5 linked regions of the Ovis aries genome follow. The protein of the gene in region 1 interacts with the protein of each later gene in a biochemical or structural test. Links are inferred from orthologs where the notes say so. Each region holds a gene or a part of one and is shown on either strand. Other genes may lie near its edges.

Region 1 (3,583 bases):
AAAAGGTGCTGCTCTGCCCAGCTGGGAGTTTAATAGTAAAACAGTAAGCAATTAGTCATTGAAGCTTACTTGGCTTTTTTAAGTAGTAACCCCTTCTTCCCAACTTCACCAAAAACTGTACCTGGAACACAAACATAGAAAATAGATCTTACCTCAGAAATCTCAAGACTGACTGAATTAAACATATCAACAGATATTGCAAAGGAATAAAACTGTGTAAAATTATTCCTAATGTCAACATTTGCCAGTATTCCTTATTATATTAAAAACTGATAAGCACTCCATGTGATTAGTACAACATGATGATTTCCATTTTTACTTGCTGTTATACAACTATTAGCATGTAGTAAACAATGTCCAGGACATGTGTTCAGCACTTAATTGAACTTTGCACAGTGTGTTGATGTGTTTGGATAGGGTGCAGTTTTATGTGGATGTCTCTGTACAGGCCTAAATTCAAAGTCAGACCTATTCCTAACTTGTAGCCTTCTTTCTCAGTGAAATATTTATAAAAACCTCATATATGTTCAAAGATGACAGCAAAGACTTTGTTCCAAGATTAATATATTATTAAAAAGAGTCAATCAGACCACTCAAGTTAACATGTAAAACTGTGTTACAATGCATGGACGTGTGTTTTTTACATGTTTCTGTGTGATTATGTGTATAATTTATTTTTACTTTTTAATCAGACGTTTGGGGAACCTATGAATTGCCTCTGCCAAATCCTTATTCTTTGTGAAATGCTTTGAGAAAGTACGAGCCTGGTCTATTCAGCTTTTTCCTTGGTCTCTACTTTAGAATTCACAAAATACCTAAATTTGTTCATTGTAGTTTTATAGATTCTTTTCATTCTGAAATGTCATATTGTTTCTTTGTATAAGAGATCAACTTCATAATCTGGAGAAAGTAAATTCTTCCTAAGAGTAATACAGAAATGCTTATTATGGCCATAACAAGCGTTTGTGTATTTCTTACTAAGAAGCCATGTTCAAAATGAGGTTTCTCTTGGTTTGACCATCAGACCTTCAGTGTTTAGGGACATGACTAAAAGCATCCACATGTGAAAGGACTATTAATAGTGAACTCCGGGAATAACCAAGCAAGAACAGGAAGAATCAGGCAGTGCTTTTATTGAAGTACATTGTTCAGGCAACTCTGGGATTGGCGATTAGGCATTTATGTAAACTCAGTCATGGAAGGCATCTATCAGTGAAACTTGAAGGCTTCTTCAAGGTTAAACAGCAGAGCCACTACTGACTTCAAAAAATACAGTCACCTTTAATATCTATTTGAATGGGAAAAGAGTTTTGCATGTTCATTTTCTAGATTTATTGGAATTTTTTTTCCTGATAATTGCAGAGCATTAGGAGCCTTTTAAATATTATACCCTAAAAGTCTGTGTGTGTGTTAAACTTTTCTTTAAGACATTTTTTAAGTGTGAAAGGTAATTTTTATTAGAAATTACAAGAGCCAAGTATTTTTTTGCAAATACATTTTGTGCTATATTATATATATTTAAACTCTCCATTTACTTAATAAGACAATTTCTATAGAATGAAACATTCTCTCTATAAAACCATTTTGAGTTAGAAATAACTGAGTGTTGGTAAAGTTTGTCTTTACAAAGAAATTAGTTTGTATTCTGTGTAACCATATACATACAAATACATCTGGATGTGACATCAATTCCTATTTTCTGATGAACTTCTAATAAGATAGGTTAGAAGTAAAAAATAATAGCCTAAGAGCCAGCTGTATGTTTGCACTTTCTGTTTTGGTGTTTAAACATGTAAATGGTTGGGTTTACATATAATTTATGTATGTATACATATATGTTTTCATGTAAATATATGGTAAATGGTGCCAATTTCTTTCAGTGTCTCTGAAAATTCAGTGTTGCATGGTATTCCTGCGTGATCTGGGGGTTACTTGTATATATGTCTATGTGTATAACGTGTCTTGTGAATTTTGCATGCTACACTAATCTCTGTTAAATCTATCCCCTCTTTATTCAGAGCATGCTGTCAAGGTCCTTTAATTCCAATTTTACTGCTGTAAGCAACTTTCACTATGGCAGCTCTAGGGATCTGCATGGCAGCCAGGGCAGTCTCGCCTTGAGTGTTGCAGACGGAAGAGGTTCTGGTGGGCACACTTTTCGAGTGAGTACCTGCAGTAGATCAGTACTTCAGTACATAAATGAGAAAGAAGCCCACATTTCACGTTACCCAAGTGTTATTGACCAGAGTGTTTGAATATCCACTTGCATAACAAATCACCTGCCACAGGCATTAGTTTCTGCAAGAATCCCTGGGTCAATAATGTGTTAACAGTTCTAGAAAATAAATCTGTACTGTGGGTTAAATACCTTGATTACCTCCCAGTTCTTCCATGGCTTAGTTGTAAAGCTCTGCAAAGCTGATTTAGGCTTTACCTCTTTAAGTTTCAGTGGTCATAACTAAAGGTGTAGTCAGCTCTTATTTATGTAAAAAGGGATGAGCAATAGGAGTTGAAGAGGTTTTTTAAAAATTCTTTTTCTCTGCAGTGCTCTCTCAAAATTAGCTTGCTTTCCCTAACTCAGAGTTTTAATGCTGTGCCATGCATAATACATAGAGGGGTTGTAGGAATTAGCCTCCAATTAAAATAAATAAATTTAAATTAAAAAAATAATTTTCACTTTAGTGACTGAGAGTTGGCAAATAAATACCTGGAACTAAGTTTAATCGTAATTTGCAGAATATGATTAAATGTGAGGCAGGAGAGATTGCAATAAGTACCAGTGAAAAGGCAAAACCCAAATCCATTAACACCCACCTAATCATTTGTGGGAAGAAGGAAGGTTTATTCTTAATGAAAGTTAAGGGTAGGAGATAAGAAGGACAGAAAAGGAGAAAGAACAGAATAACTCTGGCTGTTATAAAATTTGTCTTTCCATAACAACTTGAGGTGGTAGCATGACCTCTAAGTAAATATTTCCTCTGCCCTTCCATCCTGAAAAGACCTTTCTCCCTTTGTAGAGCTTATTCTCTCCCACATAGTTTTATTTCCATACTGACCCTGCTTCTGGGTCCTTTGCTTTTGACTTGAGCGTCCCCTTTCTTACCACCCCCAGTCCCCTACTGCTGTTTCATACACTCCTGGCTTTAGTCTGTTGTTCTCTCGGATAGAAGCAGTATCCGGGGTTCACTTTGCTCTGCCTGGACCTCACTCATCTTGCTGTCCTCTGTCACCTGCTGCCACTGGGTTTCTGTGTTACACGTTAGTGGCAGCAATCGTTTTGTAACTTAGCAGTCTGAAACAGGGAGAGAGGAGATGATGGCTAGTAAGCCCTGCTTTTCTGGTGCTCTTTCTAGCTGAAGCCACGGGGTTATTAACTCAGGGATAATCTTTATAGTCATCTAGAGCAATTGTTTTTTACAAATTCTTGATCAGTAATATCTTTTGCTTGTTATTATTAAATTCAGAGTCTTTGAGTCTTGCACTTTAGCTTTTTCATCTGTAATGTACTTGTTCATTTAAAGATAGAGTTGTACATTCACACTTGAGTTTAAACTTCAAGCTGTGAGTTAAGTTGATGATTACA
Region 2 (4,056 bases), on another chromosome or scaffold:
GAGGGGCTTGTGCAGCTGGGGCTCCAGACACACACCTGCAGGTTCTTCTGGAATATGACAGAGCTGAGGATGGGAAGCAAAGTTGTCCAGGAGCCTGCTCTCCTGCTCTACCACTTTCTTGTCAAAACTCAAGTCAAAGCAAGTCTGGTCGTGAATCCACCCTTCCCAGTTGCTCCAAAGGTATCTCTGTCAAGTAGGAGGAACTTATTTTACAGTTTGTTAGCTTTATTTATGAGTTAAATATTGAGAGTTAAAGTATGTGGGCTCCCTTTGTACACTTGCTTCTGTTCCTCAGATGTTTCGGGCCCTCTTGCTCTTGACTGTCAAGGCCAAAGCCAGAGGAAGAAGCTGGAGAATTGGATGGTTATGTGATTTTCCAAGACTGCGATTCTCTAGTGGTACTTTGCAAATCTGTAGAAACCAAAATACAAGCCCACGTGTATTTATCTATTACTGCTGACTGACATGGTGAAAATAAAAAGGAAATTAGTCCACAATGCTGGGTTTTCTGTGGCCTCCTTCTCCCAGTTTGCTAAGGGAAGGAGCAAGACAGTTTTCAGGGGTCCTCCTGGGACTTGGGAGGCCCCAAATTGGGAACCCCAAAGGCTCTTGAATTCCAAAGTCAGGGTTTGCGGTGGAAAACAAAACCAGCCAGTTGAACAGAGGACTGTCCATCTTCTCCCCACTCTGGGCATTTAAAGGAAAAAAAAGACTAAAGGGTTGGCATCCTTAGGGGTTTTAGCCTAGCTTTCTCTTCCCCTTTCCTCTCCTCTCTCCGCCCCCAAGTCCCTCCAGCTGAGTAAATTAACAAAGGAAACAAAAGTTGCTGAAAGAACTAGTTTAGAGAAAGCGATTTTCACTCGTGCTGTTGGCTGCCCTGAACCTGGACTAGAGTCTCTGGAGGGCACAGTCCCAAGACCGCCGTTTGCCCCTGTTCCTGCGCTGGCGGGCCGGGCTGGGCCGAGCGGCGCGGACCTACGGCGGGGGTAGGCCGGCTGCACTCCGCCCCCAGCCCCGCGCGCCGCCGGACGTCGCCCGTTTAAGGGGCGGGACGCGGCTCCACGTGCTTTCTGCTGAGTGACTGAACTACATAAACAGAGGCCGGGAAGGGGGCGGGGAAGGAGGGAGAGAACAGGCTTTGACCGATAGTAACCCCAGCGCTCAGCGCCGCCGAATCTATAAAAGGAACTAGTCGCGGCAAAACCCCGGTAATTCCGAGGCAGAGTGAGTGCTGCCGGGGCCGGCAGGGACGCGCCGACACCTCTCTACCCCGGCGCAGGTGGGCAGAACAGGGGGCGCCGTGCAACCAGCGCCGCCACAGCCAATTTCTCGGGGCGCTTTGCTCCCTTTACCCCCCTTCTTTTCCGAAGGGTTTTTCAAGGGGTTGGGGAAAGAACCACAAACACAAAAGTGGAAAACAGGTAAGAGTCTCTTCAGCGACTTGGACGTTATTGTTTCGTTTCGGGCCGAGGGGACTTTGGGAAGCTCTGGGTGTCGGGGACTTTAGTCCGAACCCCCACATCCCCACCTCCTGCAGCACAAACGGGCTCGTAAATGTGGAGAGGACGTCCTAGGAGGAGCTCTGGCGACCCAAAGACGCGACATCGCTGCGCTCAGGGTTCGCCCGCGGTGGAGCTCGGGGAGCATCTCTGGGCGCGCGGAGACCCGAGCGCAGTAGCTGGGGCGCAGTGGAATCGGGGGGCTCCTGGTGGTGCTGGAGGCGCTGCTGCCGGAGTAGGGAGAATGGGAGGTCTGGCACTGAGCTATTCCCTTTGTTTGGAAGCGCCTGAGCCGGTTGGAACCCTCTCTGGCTGCGGCTCGGCCGGCGCCCACCGGGAAAAATGCCAGCCGTCAGAATCCCCTCTGTTCGTAAGGCGCTAGTCCGGGTTGGGCTCTGATCTGGGGATAGGTCCCCCGCGCCCCTGGACTGGAGCAGCGCTTTCTGGCTCACCAAGAATGCGACTGGGAGGTGTCCCAAACAGAGTCCTTAGCGCTAGTGCTCTTTTGAGGCCTCGGGGGCTTTGTTTGATCAGGGGGTTCCTGTTCCATAGTCTCCATACGCTTCCAGGAGGTGCTGCCTCTGACGCTGTGGGAGGCTGGGGATGGGGGTAGGGGAGACGGGCGGGGCGGAGGGACGAGAGTTTTGTTTCTTTAACAAACGTTAGAAGGGTCCCTGCGGAAACCTGGAGCTGAGGTGACCATTCCCCTGCCCCCCCTTCCCCCCATCTTCCTGCCCTTTGCTGAGTGTCTCTTGGAGCAGCTTCAGGGAGGGCATGGATGGGGAAGCTAGGGCGAGACGGTGCAGCAGAATGACCGAGAGTAACCCCGGCAGGCGGTGCAGAGCTCGCAGCTCCGCGGGCGGGCTGTGCTTCGTGGTGGGGGGAGGGAGGGCTGAGCGCCGGCTGCCGGTGGCCACGGGGGGAACTGATCCACAGCGCCTCCTGGCCGGGTGGCCTGGGAATCGGCTCCTTGGCCCGAGTGAGGCCAGGCTGCAAGAGGCTTTGTCGCCTGCTATGGTTCCGACCGAGATCCAAGGAAGACGGGTGATTGTAGACTGGGAGGAAACCTGGGGATCAGGCGAAAGTGCTTCTGCTTGTGTTTTAGATTGCTTCCCAACTCCCAGAGAGTTGCTAAATGGAAGGTTCTTGGGGTGTGCGTGGGCCAGTATTGTGTGTAGGTGCTTGTTTTTCAGCACTCATCGAAAAGAAGGGAATAAACAAGATAAAAGAAAACAGGGAGAGAAGGAAAAAGGGAGAGAAAGAAATGTAGCCCTGGAAATAATTGGCCTTTGTCTTTTGCAAAAGCGATACCATCAGCTTTTAAAACCAGAACTTTTCAGTGAAACAAGGAAGTGAGTGCGTGGTATATACATTCATATAATAGACGATAAATTTGATATTTAAAAAATTCCTTGGTGATAAAAATCAGCAAGTCACTTCCTAAGGACCGATTCCCACCTCCCATCAAAGAACACCTCATAAAAATTTGCAAGTTCAAAAGCAGAGTTTTAATGGCCCTTTAAACAATAGTGTGGGACCCAAACCTAAGTTTCGATCTTTTCAGACAAAATTTAAAACACACCTAAAGAAGTACTTAGTTTTTTATCTCCCCTTTTATTTCAGCCCATTTTCCTCATACTTACTACGAAATTAATGGAGGCTTTCTGTTGTTCTTGTCATTCTCTTTGAGACACTTATCCTAAATCAAGGAAAGTGTGAGAGCAAAGGGAGAAGGTTCTGGAGTAGAACCTCTTCTGATGGTAAATAATTTTCAAGTACAAAGTCTTCCTTGTCAGCCTATTCCCCAAGTACTCCTTGTTTGTGTGTTTTTTTTTTTTAACTTTTAATTTTACATTAAAGTATAACTGATTAACAATATTTGATAGTTTCAGGTGACAACAAAGGAACTTAGTCACACATACATGTATCCATTCCCAAATGCTCCTTTTATAGGAGCTTTAATGCTTTATGCTTTAAGTTAATTCATGATAGAGTTTTGGGAAAACATTAGATACACAGAGCAAGAAGCGGTAGAATTGGAGTGACAGCCTTGGATGACCACAGTTCAAGGGGTAAGAATTGCTACTGCAGTCAGAGTGATTCTTGAGCCCCCTTGCAGGGACCAGCCTGTTGTTCCAGAATGATGTATCTGATTGTGAAATGGACGCTTGTGATATGTGTCTCCCCTTCAGATGAGCGTTTAAAATCTCAGCTCTCAATTTACATCTACATAGAGGCCTATAATGAACCCTGGATACCTCTTGACTTAGGGCATATTTACAGTTCATGTGAGACTAGCTTAGATTGGAAAAGGGTGATTAGGGTTTGATTGTTTCCAACCTCTGCTCTTAATGATTACATTATTAAAAATGAATGAAACCAAATAAAACTCACTGACACAGTTTTTTATCTTCTGTAGTATTTATCTTGTATGCAGAGAAGTTGTAATATTTTTCGTTTAAATTTTTTTTAGGGGATCTTCCTTCCCATAAGCTAAGTTGCTTATGCTATATCCCGCATGATTGTAAATTGTTAATACCTTTGCTATTTTTATTTT
Region 3 (4,336 bases), on another chromosome or scaffold:
CCCAGGGCCAGGGAGAAACTTTCCTTTCTTTCCAGGTCAAGGAGGGCTGCCCACTGAGTGATCAGCCCCTGCTGCTCCCTGCAGCTCAGGCTGGGAAGGCCCAGGCCCCACTGGGGACCAGGCAGAGTGTCCCTAGTCTGGGGACATCCCGTGCCTTTGCCCCGGGCCTTGGGAGGGCTGTGGGGATCATCTGGGAGCTGGGCCTGCAGAGAGGCCTGGTCAGCTCGGCTGCTTGGCCTCAAGTCTTGGAGGACCCCCAGAGACTAGACTGCGCTGAGTCCTGGGGGCGGGGCAGGAGCAGCAGAACCCTTCTGGAGCCCTGTACCTCAATGCCTGGAGTCAGGGGGTCAGCTGGGGGCTTCCTGGAGGAGGCAGGTGGGGTACCACAGGACATGAGGGGCACGGGCAAACGTGATTGTGGCTCCAGGGATCCCAGGCTACGGCCGTGGACCAGCCTGCAGCTCCTGAGCGCCGGCTCGCTGCGGTGGAGCAGGTATAAAGCTGCTCGGGCCAGCGAGCTGCAGGGTTGCTGATCAATGGCGTAGGGCACAGAAGGTGGCTGGGGCCCCCGGGCATCTTGTAACCCCGCTGTGTCTCAGGCCTGGGTCACTGGGCTGGGGGAGCGGATGGAGGAGGCTCTGACGCATGAAACGATAATGCCCCCTTCTAAAGTTAAGTGGGTGCCCCTTCGCCTTGGGGGTCGGACGTACCTTCCTGAGGCGAGTGAGCCGCTCTGGCTGTGTTTTAAAGAGTAAACCTGGGGCCTGGGCTGGATGGGGCGGGACCTGCACGGCACCTTGCACATCTCTGGGCAGTCTCCCCAGCCAGGTGGGGGGCCTGCAGGACCACCCTCTGCTCCAGCGTGGTAGGTGCCCTGAGTTTGGGAGAGGGAATCAGCTTCTTCACAGGGAAAGGGGGATAGAGGCAAGATGGGTGGAACGGAGCTGGCGGTGGGAGGGTCAGCCCAGGGTGAAGGGGCATCCTGGGGTGGGCAGTTGGTGCTCCAGTGCTCAGGTCAGGTCAGGTGCCTCAGGGTGGGAGTTCTCTGGTGCAGGGAGGAAGTTGGCGGGACTGCTGGACGGTGATTTGGGGATGGGGGTAGAAGCTGACAAGCTCAGGCGGCCAGGACGGGCCAGCGCCCCGGGGCGCGGCGGGAAGGAGGAAACACGAGACCCACGGGCTTCCCGCAGAGACACCGCGCGCTCGGCCCGGGGAGTCCAGCCCGAGGGCGGAGCGCGGAGGCAGGCCGGTCCGGGCGCCGCGTCGGCTCCGGGCCCGGGGCCGCCCTGAGCGGCGGCGCTCCCCTCCCCCGCCTCCGGCCTCGCGGGCGGCGCCGCCTCAGGTTTCCGGAGGGGCCGCAGGGCGGCGGCGCGGGGCCGGGGGGAGGGCGGGGGCGTCACGTGCGCCCGGGCCCCGGGCCGGTTGGTCATGCCGCAGGGGAGGGGCCGCGGGCGGCCCAGGCGGGGGCCGGGGTCGGAGCTCCGGACGGGACAGCCAGGAGCCGGGTTCCCCGGCGGCGGCGGCGGCGGCGGCCCCGGGTGCGCGCCGGGTCCCCCCGTGGATTCCGGGCCCCCGGCCCTCGAGGCACGGGGTCCGCGGCGGGGGCGGTGCCCGGCCAGCCATGAGCTCCCCGTCGCCCGCCCGCAAGGGCTTTTATCGCCAGGAGGTGACCAAGACGGCCTGGGAGGTGCGCGTCGTGTACCAGGATCTGCAGCCCGTGGGCTCCGGCGCCTACGGCGCCGTGTGGTGAGTGCAGGCCGGGCGGGGCGGCCGGGCGTGGGGTGTCCCGGCCCCTCGCTGAGCTGTGCGCCCCGCAGCTCGGCGGTGGACAGCCGCACGGGCGCCAAGGTGGCCATCAAGAAGCTGTACCGGCCCTTCCAGTCCGAGCTGTTCGCCAAGCGCGCCTACCGCGAGCTGCGCCTGCTGAAGCACATGCGCCACGAGAACGTGAGTCCCGCCCGGGCCGCCGCTCCGCTCCCCGCCGCCGGCTCCAGGCCCCCGCCGGCTCCAGGCCCCCGCCGGCTCCAGGCCCCCGCCCGGGAGACCCCTGGGCCGCTCTTGGGGTGGCGGGGCGGGGGCCGTGGGTCGGGCCGTGTCCCTGAGCGTGCGGGGTCGAGAGGACAGCTTCCTGGTTTCTCGACCGCTCCGCCTGGGCCAGTCCCGCGGCCGCCTCTGGCTCTTCGGCCCAGGGCCTGCTTGCGGATGGCCCAGGCCGCGGCGCTCCAGCCCTGCTCGCTGGCAACCTTGACTTGAGCCCCGGGGACCTCAGCGGGTAGGAGGGGTTTTCCTGGAAGGTCCCCCTCCCCGCGCTGGCCGGCTGCCCCCTCCCTGCTTCTCCAGCTCCTCTCCTTACCCAAGTCTGCCTCCTGAGCCCCTGGGGCTGCGGCAGCTGGGAATGTGGAGGAAGGCAGAATTAGAGTTGTCAGCTCCCTCAGAGCGCCTGGGTCTCTGACGGTGAAGGGGTTCAGTGAGCTGTGTGTGGAGGGCACCGGGCACCCACAGGCACACAGACCCTTCCTGTGACGCCCACGCCCACAGTGTGAGGAAGGGCCGGCCACCACCGGGGAGGGGTCTCCTCTGTTTCCAGACCTGCCCACAGGAGACCCCACGAGGCTGCCACAAGCCTCTGCCTGCACAGTGCGGGCCGCAGAGGGCCCTTCCGTTCTCGTCCATGCAGTTCCTCCTGTGACCCTGAAAGCTGCCCGCTTCCCCGCCCGCAAGCCTCTCCTGCCCAGTCTGAGGGTGACCTGGGTGCCCAGACCCTGGCCAGTCATGGCGGGCTGGCACCTCCTGGTCCGCACGTCCACCAGGAAACTCCCCTCAGCTCCAGGGCCCACCCACTCAGGGCCTCGGGTGGGTCCTGCTCTCATTCCCGGGTGGAATCCCCTTTGTGGAGGATACCCGCCGAGCGCCAGCGTTGCTACCTGCAGGCCACACCTGCTCACACGTGGGACTTGTCCACGTGAGGACCGACCCCTCTGCAGTGCCTTCCTGTGGTCCCCTCCCTCCCAGCCATGCTCCCCGCCTTGCCCCGGCCTGTCCACTCTCTCCCTGGGCTCCTGCCCTGTGGCCTCCCAGCCCTGTCCTTTCTCCGGCCTCCCCACTGCTGCTGCTCTCTGCCTTCCCCCAGACCTCCTGACTGCCCCCCTGCTGCCCCCCTTAGCTGGGAGGCTCTGCCTTTCATGACCCCGTGTTCCTGGGAAGAAATGGTCTCCGAGAGGCTGAGGCGTGCCCCAGTCCTGCCCGTCCTGTGCCCACCTCCCCCCCTTTACCCCAGCCCCTCACCTCCAGCACTGGCCTCCCTGTGCAAGGCAGAGGCCTGGAAGTTTCCATCAATCTGACATACCTCCCCCGAACCTCCGGGATCCTTGCTGAAACCACGTCCTGACACTTCTCCTGCCTCTGGCCCCTCTCTGAGTGTCCCCGCCTCTTCACCCAGGTCTGGCCCTGGAGGCTGCGGCAGTCATGGAGGTGTCCCTCCGCCTCGTGTCCACTGTGTCCCTGCACCGCAGCCAGGGCCGCACCCAGCGGCATGCCCGCCTAGCGCCCTGCGGTGGCTCCTGGGATCCGGGCAGCCCTCACTTGGTGTCTTGGGCCCTCTCGGTTTCCTCGGCTTCTCCTTGGCGGCTCCCTGGCCTGGTTCTTGGCCACCTGGCCTCTCTCCCGTGTTCCTCAAGTGCTCTGAGCCCTCTGTCTCCTGCCTCGGCCACCACTCGTGTGGCCTCTGCCAGGCCTGCCCCCTGCCAGCACGCCCACCTGTCCCTCCAGCCGCTTGGATGTGCAGGCTTCACGGGGTCCCTGGAGGCCTGGGTGCCAGCTGTCACACTTCCCATGTGCTCTGTCGCCCCCCGAGGGGAGGCCTGCGGGGCTGTGAGTTTGCTCCTAGTGCTGCCTGCCTGGACCCGTCTGGCAGAGGCATGGTCCCTGCTAAGGGCTGGCTGCCCCCATGCTGGTCCTGGGTCTTCAGCAGGGACAGGAAGAGCGGGGAGGACAGGCCAAGGGCTGAGCTCCTTCGATGGCTGGGGGCTGCCCTGGACTTGAGGCTGCCCCTCCCCCAGAGGGTGCCCGCGGTCTCCATCCAGAAATAGCCTTTGTCTGTGGGCATGTTTACCAGAGCAAGGTAGAGCTGCCAGTGGGCAGAGCTGGGCGCATGGGCAGCTGCAGGGGTGCCTGAGCCCCCGCCCACCCGGCGCTTGGCCTCCTCCCCAGGTGATTGGGCTGCTGGACGTGTTCACGCCCGATGAGACACTGGATGACTTCACGGACTTGTGAGTGCCAGCCCGGGGCTGGCCGGGTAGGGAGCTGGTGTTGGGTGACTCCTGGGTGTCAACTTCAG
Region 4 (4,199 bases), on another chromosome or scaffold:
TCCTTCACAGCTCGAGTGGCCCCTGCAGAGGTGCCGACGCGAGGGGGAGAGGGGACGTCTCCTGAGAGAGCCCGAGCCCTCTGAGGGCGAGCCGGGGACCTGGGGTCTTTCTGGGAGATTCCCTGAGCAGGTCTGTGGAGCAGCTGTACTCTCTCTTCAGGAGCCAGCTCTACTGGGGGAGACGTGGGTTTATGTCCTGCTCTTACCCAGAGGAGGCTTGCCCACCAGCAGCCTGCACGACTCCGTGGCTGACCACTCGGCAGGCGTGTCCTGCCCGTTGTGCTGGCTGTGGAGACGGCGTGGGTGTGCTGAGTGGCCTCTTTATCCTGGGGTTCAGGCCGGGGGAGAAGTTCCCGAGCGCCGTGCCCTGCTTATGCTGGAAGGTTCCTGAAGCTTCTGCTGGGACGTGAGGGCAGTGTCCTGTTCAGAGTGGCTGCTTGGGCTGGCTCTTGTTGGCCAGCGGCAGGACAGCGGGTCGGGGCGCCCACCCTGCGCCTGGGGAGGGGCCGAGCGGAGGCTGGGAGACTGCAGTCAGACGGGAGCCGGAGGGCGGCGTGGTCATCCTCTGGCCGGGGGCCTCAGAGCTCCTGCTCTGGCGGGCGGGCCACCCTGACCGAATCGCCCCGCCGTGGGTGCTGGTGGCGGCTGGCGTGTGGCGCCTCATCTCCTCCTCAGGGATGGGTGAGCCCTCCTGTGTCCGGTGTTAGTTCAGGGACCAAGCCTGATACCACGTGTGATGCTAAGTGTAAGGAAAGAGCGTGTCAGAGGGTGGTGTAGGGAGCGAGCGTGACGGCTGGGAGGTCGAGTTCGGCTCAGGCGCGTGACGGTCCGCCTTAGCCCTCCCGTGCGCTCGGCGGCTCCGGGCGCTGGGTGCTCGAGAACCTGCCTTCTCTGCTGCACAGGTGGGGCTGGGCGGGTGGACTTCTGTCTGGGAGCCTCGGTGCCCTGATGGACTGAGGTGACCACTGGCAGAGGGTCCACGGGCGGGCAGGCTTGTCTCCGAAGCGTGAGTGCCCCGGGGTAACTGTGCACTGTTATTCCCACTTTCTCTGAACCCTAAGATTTTTTTCTTCTGTTGAATACATTCCTGTTTCAGGAAGTAATTGGTTATCTTTCTCTAGAGAAGCCCTTTAGTCAAAACATCTTTGACTCAGAATGTGCGTCTTCCCCTCTCGGTGGCAGGCGCTTGTCTGGTCTCATTGTGTAGCTTCCTGTTGAGAAGTGTGGTGTGTGTGTGAATTCACTTAAGTTCTGACATCACTTTGGAGCCCATTGGTGGGCTGCTTCAGCCAACCAGACGCTTCCTGGTGTCCAAGTAAGATATATAGTTCTGGAATAACAGGAAACTTCAGCTTTCAACATCCTGTTTTTCTGGGTTTTGTGACTCTCTGCCTTACCACGATGAAGGTTAGTAGATACTTTTATGTATATTTTTTCTTGCAGAATACTACAATTTGAATTTTCCAAGCTCTGGAATTAGGACCTGAGAGCTGAGACTGCCTCCTCCCACCTTTTCCAGGAGAAGGAGCTTTTGTGTTCTGACAGAAGGGAGTGGAGGCCTGTTCAGGGCCCTCCTTTTAATAAAGAACTCAGCCAGCCCATTGCAGATGTAGCTGCACACGCCTGCCTGAATCACGGTCTCCTCTGACTTGAATCTTGGAATCACGGGGATTCCAGAGACTGTCCTAAGGGGTACTCGTTTTCATAGGCGGGCAGGATCTGGCATCACGAACGTTTTATCTCCTGCTCCATCTGCGAGAAAGGTGTGAGCAGTGTCGCAGAGTGCTTGGCTGTCTGAGTTCACGACTCTTCCCCTCTCCCAGCTCTGTTTGCGTTCCTCTCTCAACTTGGGTTTAATGGCCTCCTTTCTGGAGCTGGTTTGTTCAGCTCTTGGATTTTCTTTCTTTGGTTCACGTCTAAGCTCACCTCACGAGGATGTTTACTCATCTCAGAAGGTAAAGCAGGAGAGTGGGCCAGAGACGGCAGTGACTGTCGAGATTTGGAGCAGCCCTGTGTCCTGGGTCTGTCCTCACAGAGACCTTCCGAGCCGTGGCGGGGAGGTGGGATGGTGGGAGCCGGGCGGGTTGCTGCCTTCTTACTGTGTGCGGGCTGTTCTCTGGATGTGGGGGGTGAGGGCTGCGGGGCGGGTTTCAGTTTCTGCAGCGGCCTGTGCGGGGACTGTGCAGTGTGCTGAATCCTCCGGGGCTGCGCAGGGGGTGGGAGGCAGGAAGAGGAGCCGGGCTTCCTGGCAGGATGTGAGACGCAGGAACCGTGAACCAGCTGGGGCGACCTGCAGAGGACGCCGTTCCTGGGATGGCTGGCCGCCGGAGGTCACTTTTGCCCCGGTGAGAGAATCTTTGAAGTATGTTATCCTAGTTTTCATTTTGACATATGAACACATCTTTCTGTTACCTGCATCTCTGAAAGAATTTTCTTTCCCTACTTTCTCTGGCACAAGTTGTGGATCATCTGATGGTTAAATTTTTTGGTGGGGAGTTGTTGTTATTTAGTGATCCAAAGCTGTGTGTGATCTTCAGACAGCGTTTGGGAGTGAGGTGTGTGTGTCTCAGCCCGTGGTGTCTGTGCACACGTCCGAGACCGTGGCGCTCTGTCTGGGCAGCCCGACGTGCATTCTCTTCCAGCTCCTGGGCGGGCGGGGCTGGGCCAGTGCGGTTGTGTCCCTGGTCTCTGGGGTGGAGGCGCCCCTCTTTCTGGAGTCTGGCTCCCCGCTTCCTCTCCCTCGACCCTTGTGTCCACTCCAGCATCTGGGCTTCCCTTTGGCTGCTCCTGACTTTGGCCTGGGCTGTGACCGGGAGAGGAAGTCTGTCGTAGGCATGCCCAGCAGCCTTGGCCTCAGTCTAAGGAGAAGAGCCCTCTCTGAGTGCCAGGAGTGCCCCAGGTCGCTGGGAGGGTGGGGCAGGGTGGTTCAGAACTGGACTCAGCCCCAGGAGCAGAGTGGCCCGGCCTCCTGGAAGCTGAGCTCCTCGGGTGCCCTTGCCCGGGTCTCACCTGCAAAGCCCACTGTCTTCCTCCCGCTGCACAGACTGCCACGCCCCGCCAGTGCCGGGCTCGGCTAATTCTGCTTATTCTCTTTCCCTTGCAGACGTTTGATGCAAACGATTTGTATCAGGGGCAGAATTTCAACAAGGTCCTCAGCTCCTTAGTGACGCTGAATAAAGTAACAGCAGGTAAGTGTCTTTCTGCTGAACCTGAGGGGAGGGGAAGCCACGGGCAGAGACCGCGCCCTCCTGTCAGCAGGCAGGAGCTTAGAAAAGGACCGCGCTAAGCTCTTGGCTGTGGCTTTGCTGCGATGCTATTCTTTTTCCTTGTCAGAGCAGCTCTTCCTTTTCGGGTCCCCGTGTGTCTTGGTGCTTCCCCTCCTCTGCCTGAGCGAGCAGCAGAGTGGCCTCGTCCACGGGTGCACTCATGGGCTGTCCTGGCCCCTCGGATGGGGGCGCTCTGCCCTCACTGTGTGGGGAGGAGTGGGCCCGAGGGACCACTCCCAGGGCCCTCAGGCGCCCACAGCTCTAGGCTGGGCTTCTGTGCTTGACCTTGGCTTGCAGTGGAGACTCTTGGCGGTTGCAATGGCAGCACCTCAGGTCAAGCTGAATTAGGACCCGGGTGAGTGAGTGTAGACAAGGGTGGAGGTCTGGATTCTGGAGCAGAGGTGGGCTCAGACGGACGTCAGCACTCCACCCGGAGCAGGCCTTGCAGGAGGAGATCTGTGGCATCTCATGAAGGTTGTCCGTCAGGCAGCACGCTGCTCCTGCCGGCAAACCCCCCCCCCCCCCGCCCCGCCCCGCCCCGTGAAGGGATGGGCTTGATGTGAGCACTCAGCAAGAGGGTGGCCGGCTGTGAGCGGCCAGGCTGGCTCTGAGAACCGTGCTTCCCCCGTGACTCCATGCCCCGGCCCAGCCCAGCCACCCCTGGCTGCCAGGACCACGGCTGATGCGCTGTCCTGGGGCTGGACGTGCGCTCGGGCCACAGGCAGGAGCAGCTTCGGTAGATACAGACCCCACGCGAGGCTGGAGGCGTCTGTTTCCGGGGTCGGAGGCTGCTTCTGCTCCGTCCACCAGGTGGCGATGCTCGGTCATCGCGGCGGGAGTGCGGGGCTCCACACGCCCCGTGCAGACACGGGCCGGGGCCGACACGGGCCGGGGCCGTGTCTCCAGGGCGCCCGTGCCGTCGCTCTCACCCCG
Region 5 (4,375 bases), on another chromosome or scaffold:
CTGAGGGTGTGAATGACTCACTGGGAGATGTTCGAAGTCTGGGCAGAGCAGGAACTTCTCAGACCACAGCCAGGCCTGGCCCCCAGGGAGGGGCTGGACTGTGCTGAAGCTGGAACCGCAGAGAGCCTCTGGGAGGAGAGGCACCATGGGGCCAGCTCCCCGGGCTTCCCTCTGCCTCTTGCAAAGGTCACTCTGGCCTGGGCTCAGCTTAGACAGAGGTCTGGCTGCCAGAAAAGCCAGTGGCAGTTAGGGGTATGGGAGACTGGGGGACGTTTTGGGGGACGGTTTCTGTGGATTCACTCAAGAGATTCTCTTGTTTGCCCCGGGGCAGGAGCTAATGAGCAAGAGGTGGGTCCTTTCTAGACACCTCCACTAGAGGTCACCACAGCCCCAGAGTGGAAGTGGGGGAGGGGGCTAAACTAAGGAACATCCCTCCCCCCCCCAACTTCGAGGGACAGATGTCTAGTCAGTGGGGTGGGGCAGTGTTGGTAGAGAAATGACCCTCAGGGCTGCTGTGTGGTCCAGCTAAGCAGCTGTGTTGGGGGGAGGAGCTCATGGGTGTGAGATGTGGGTGTGGGCATATAGACAGACACACACTTGATAAAATCCTAGTCACCAGAGACGTGCCTGGTGGTCCAGGGGCAAGAAACTCCGCACACTGGGGAAAGCACGGGGCCCAGGTTCGATCCCTGGTCAGGAAACTAGACCCCACACACCACAGCTGAGATCCCGTGCAATCAAATAAATAAATAAAATCAATATTTAAAAGAAATATAACGACCATAGGTACATATAGGTGGCCCTGTGTACATGTGAATGGAAGCATGTTACGTGGGCACAGACAAACACCCGGGTATAAATAACAGGCCTGAAATGCCCAGTTGCATGGGCATGACAGTGGTGTGTGCACACACTCGATACAACTGTAGTGTCTGGGATATGCAACATCTGTGCTCATCTGGGCAGAAGAGTGCACGTGGCTGCATGCGTGTAATAATACACATCTGTGCACAAACCTGCTGTGAGCGTGGGAGTGTGCCTATGTGAGTAGCAGGTATGCATTTGAATAAGTGTGACACGCAGTGGAAGCATTTGTGTGACTGTGTGAAGGGTATACTTTACGTGCCCAGCTGAGCATGTATGAGTGTGACAGTGGGCAGGGGGGAACGCAGCCGTGAGTGTGTAGAGTGTGCCAGCCAGTGTGTGTCCTGGGAGTGCTTCTGGGAACGAGTGTGAAAGGAGAGTCCTGTACAAGAATGAGCCTGTGGGCTCAGGCTCATGGCCACACAGTGGGCGTGTGTGCGTGGGTGTGTGTGAGAGAGTGGACGGACGTGTTGAGTGTGTCACGCTCTGGGTCAGCGGTCCCCCAGCCCAGGCAGTCCCAAGCCGAGCCCCGGGCACCCATGAGGCAAGCGCGGCCCAGGCTCCCACCTGAAGATTGGCCGGGTCCTCAGGTTTCACTCATGACCCTGTGACATCAGCGGCAGCAGCTGTCCCCGCCGGCCGGCCCCCCGGCCAAGTCCCCCAGAGTCTCAGCCCCAGCCCGAGGTGGGCACGCCGCTCCGAGCTTGTCTGCTCCCGTCCAACAGTGAGTACCGCGTCCCCGCCCTGAGCCCCGCCGGGCCAGGCACCCCAAAGGCAGGCCACCCCCAGGGGCCCAGTGCCCTGGCCCCCAGCCCAGCCTGGCTCTGAGGAAGTCACCGCTTTGCTCCAGGCACCACTGTCCTCCTGCCCACGCCGGGCCCCGCTCCGCGGACACCCTGCCCGAGCTCCTTGTGCCACGACCCCGGCCGGATCCCTGTGCTTGCCTCTCCCTGCCCAGTCGGCCTGTGCCCCTGTCTGGCTGGCCAGCCCTGCCCTCAGCCAGGGTCGTCGTCCTGATCACAGACGGCCCAGGGGCTAAGGCTCGGCTCCAGACGGGGTGACCCAAGGGACAGAGATGGGACTGAGTTTCTCAGGGGAGGAGGGTGGAGGGCCCAGAGCAGTGACTCGGCTCGGCCTGACCGCAGTGGCCCAGAAGGCAGGGCTGGCGGCGGGGAGGAGAGCGGGAGGCCGGCTGGGGGGTGGCGGCGGCTCCTTTGCTCTGCTGGAGCAGGAATCTGCGAGATGCCAGCAGAGGACACATCTCGGGCTGAGAGGCCGGCTGGGCTCTGCCCACTGCCCCTGCCTCTCCCTGCCGCGGGGCACACTTGGGCTCCTCTCCTGGAGAAACCAAGGGGGAGGTGGGCAGAGGAGCAGCTCCTCTTAGTGAAGGGGGTGTGGGGACAGGGAGCCAGAGAGTCCAGGGTGAGGGGCATCCCACATGGGGCCGCCGCACTGAAGGGTCTCTGCGGGACTCAGAAGGAGACTGGGGCTGGGGTCAGTGGGCTGGAGTGAAGGGGCAGGGGTGCGTCACCAGGGCAGAGCACAGACACCCCTCCCCCCTTCGCTGACAGAGCTGGGCACCCAGGACCCTAGGAGGGAGCGTGGGCAGGGGCTGGCCAAGAAGGCCTGATGGTCTGAGCAGAGATGAGAGAAGGTGTTTTTGGAAGCTCATGGAGCTGAAGGGAGGTGTGTTTTGTGTGTGTTGGAGGAGTTTGTTCAAAAGGTCGAAGATGCCACATCTAGAAGGCCTGGGGAGGGGGGTGGGACGGGAGGCTTCCAAGAATGTACTGGTAGGGGCAGGGGGCCCTGAGCCCCTTCCCACTCCGCCCCGTCAAGTACTGTGTCCCACTGCCCCTCACCCTGCTCAGGGCATGGGGTCAGGGCAGGGGGCCAGGTCCTGATGAGAGCTTGTGACACCCCGCTGTGGGGAGATGGCTTTCCAGGTGGAGACTAGACAGGTCCGCCTCCGACTTATACTGTCTGCTGCAGGCGTCTGCCCCAGAGCCCAGGAAGGCTAGAGCCCAGGGGAGCCTTGACATGATGTAATTGTCGCTCTCTCTTGTCCGCCTCTTTGCGACCACATGGACTGTAGCCCACCAGGTTCCTCTGTCCATGGGATTCTCCAGGCAAGAATACTAGAGTAGGTTGTGATGCTTTCCTCCAGGGGATCCCCCAACCCAGGGATCAAACCTGCGTCTCCTGTATCTCCTGCACTGCAGGCAGGTACCTTACCGCTGAGCCACCTGGGAAGGCTTGAAGGCCATTTAATTCGGCCCCTAAAGATGCGCCAGGTCGGGGAGGGCAGCGAGAGACCAGTTTCCGTGTCTGTCTAGTCTGGTGAGGGGAGGAGGCTGACAGAAGTTAGGGCAGAACAAGAGGTGAGCGTTGTTGTCACTTGTCTAGGGCGGCAGTGACTGAACCCAGGTGTGCAGAGCTGGGGTTGGGGGCAGGTGTCAGAGGGCTGCTTCTCCCAGAACCCTCCAGCTTTTTCCAGGGTCATAGCTAGTCCCCTGCTCGTGGCCAGTGGTGTGGATGATTATACACACTGCACCAGGATTTGGAGCCACGTTCCCTGTGTGGGGTGATGCAGGGGCCCAGACATAGCCCAAGGCCCACTCCATCTTCATGCCTGGCAGCTCTCAGGGGATGGGAGGGGTTTGGGGAAGGTACTTAAGGGTCCTTCCTAGGTGGTCCCATCCCTGCCTGGCTTCCTTGTCATTCTTGCATCGGGACCTGCTTAGGGTGGAGGCTCAGGACTCAGGGTCGCCTCCAGCTCTAGACTGGCCTGAGTGTCAAAGTCTGCCCAGCCGGCTTCCCTGCCCTGACCCACCCAGGCCCAAGGGTAGGGGAGCCCTGAAGCTCATGCTGAAGGCATTGAACTCCTGGCCAGATGCTGGAGGTGGTCCTGACAAAGTCCCTGCCTTTGGGGGCAACTCTGTCCACCAGAACAGAGAAAAGCATGGGTGATGGCAGGAAAGGGTGGGTTTAGAGAAGGCTCCCAGGGGAGGCAAGGCAGAGAGGAGAGAAGGGATTGGACCCTCCAGACCAGTGGGAAGTCTCACTCTCTCCAGGTGATAGGAGAGATGCCTAGAGGGAAAGATCTGAGCCCAGGGGCCTTGGCGAGCAGGTAGAGAGAAGGCGGGGGCAGGAGGAGGGAGCGTCAGCAGCCCCAGTCCACATGACACAGACCTCTGTCCCTCGAGTCCTCTTAGAGGGAAGGCTCAGGTTCAGAGGGCCCTGTCACTTACCTGGGGCACAAGGCTTGTGAGGGGCCACGGCCCCTACTCCCTGGGGCAGAGCTCGCCCCCGAGACCCTGGGGGCAGTGGGTCCCCGGTTGCATCCCTAGGGGTCCCCAACTCTGCAGTGGCAGGAACAGGCCCAGACTCCCCACGGCTCCACTGGAAGGTGCTCGTGGGGCTGGGGAATCCCAGGGTCTCTCCGCCTCCGCCACCCCAGCCCCAGGCCTTTCATGTGCTCTGGCCCCCATTCTGCCTCGTCAGCACAGCTATT

Evidence for each region.
Region 2: the proteins of ERBIN (region 1) and ABCA1 interact in a test that uses a peptide from one of them, tested with the Homo sapiens proteins (2 studies listed by BioGRID and IntAct). The link is inferred for Ovis aries from reciprocal best matches to the Homo sapiens genes ERBIN and ABCA1.
Region 3: the proteins of ERBIN (region 1) and MAPK12 interact in a test that uses a peptide from one of them, tested with the Homo sapiens proteins (2 studies listed by BioGRID and IntAct). The link is inferred for Ovis aries from reciprocal best matches to the Homo sapiens genes ERBIN and MAPK12.
Region 4: the proteins of ERBIN (region 1) and ARHGEF7 interact in a test that uses a peptide from one of them, tested with the Homo sapiens proteins (2 studies listed by BioGRID and IntAct). The link is inferred for Ovis aries from reciprocal best matches to the Homo sapiens genes ERBIN and ARHGEF7.
Region 5: the proteins of ERBIN (region 1) and SCN4A interact in a test that uses a peptide from one of them, tested with the Homo sapiens proteins (2 studies listed by BioGRID and IntAct). The link is inferred for Ovis aries from reciprocal best matches to the Homo sapiens genes ERBIN and SCN4A.

The regions. Positions count from the first base shown.
Region 1 is NC_056069.1:13,661,040-13,664,622, reverse strand, and holds part of ERBIN (erbin), read left to right. Parts: intron 1-2,018; coding exon 2,019-2,162; intron 2,163-3,583. UniProt on the Homo sapiens protein: Acts as an adapter for the receptor ERBB2, in epithelia. By binding the unphosphorylated 'Tyr-1248' of receptor ERBB2, it may contribute to stabilize this unphosphorylated state.
Region 2 is NC_056055.1:18,101,108-18,105,163, forward strand, and holds the start of ABCA1 (phospholipid-transporting ATPase ABCA1), read left to right. Parts: upstream 1-1,207; 5' UTR 1,208-1,279; exon of another isoform or gene 1,280-1,421; intron 1,422-4,056. UniProt on the Homo sapiens protein: Catalyzes the translocation of specific phospholipids from the cytoplasmic to the extracellular/lumenal leaflet of membrane coupled to the hydrolysis of ATP.
Region 3 is NC_056056.1:225,546,930-225,551,265, reverse strand, and holds the start of MAPK12 (mitogen-activated protein kinase 12), read left to right. Parts: upstream 1-1,487; 5' UTR 1,488-1,621; coding exon 1,622-1,746; intron 1,747-1,817; coding exon 1,818-1,947; intron 1,948-3,958; exon of another isoform or gene 3,959-4,015; coding exon of another isoform or gene 4,016-4,120; intron 4,121-4,209; coding exon 4,210-4,268; intron 4,269-4,336. UniProt on the Homo sapiens protein: Serine/threonine kinase which acts as an essential component of the MAP kinase signal transduction pathway.
Region 4 is NC_056063.1:84,832,199-84,836,397, forward strand, and holds the start of ARHGEF7 (rho guanine nucleotide exchange factor 7), read left to right. Parts: upstream 1-1,350; 5' UTR 1,351-1,401; coding exon of another isoform or gene 1,402-1,407; 5' UTR 1,408-1,856; coding exon 1,857-2,345; intron 2,346-3,103; coding exon 3,104-3,188; intron 3,189-4,199. UniProt on the Homo sapiens protein: Acts as a RAC1 guanine nucleotide exchange factor (GEF) and can induce membrane ruffling. Functions in cell migration, attachment and cell spreading. Promotes targeting of RAC1 to focal adhesions. May function as a positive regulator of apoptosis.
Region 5 is NC_056064.1:47,920,312-47,924,686, reverse strand, and holds the start of SCN4A (sodium channel protein type 4 subunit alpha), read left to right. Parts: upstream 1-1,526; 5' UTR 1,527-1,588; intron 1,589-4,375. UniProt on the Homo sapiens protein: Pore-forming subunit of Nav1.4, a voltage-gated sodium (Nav) channel that directly mediates the depolarizing phase of action potentials in excitable membranes.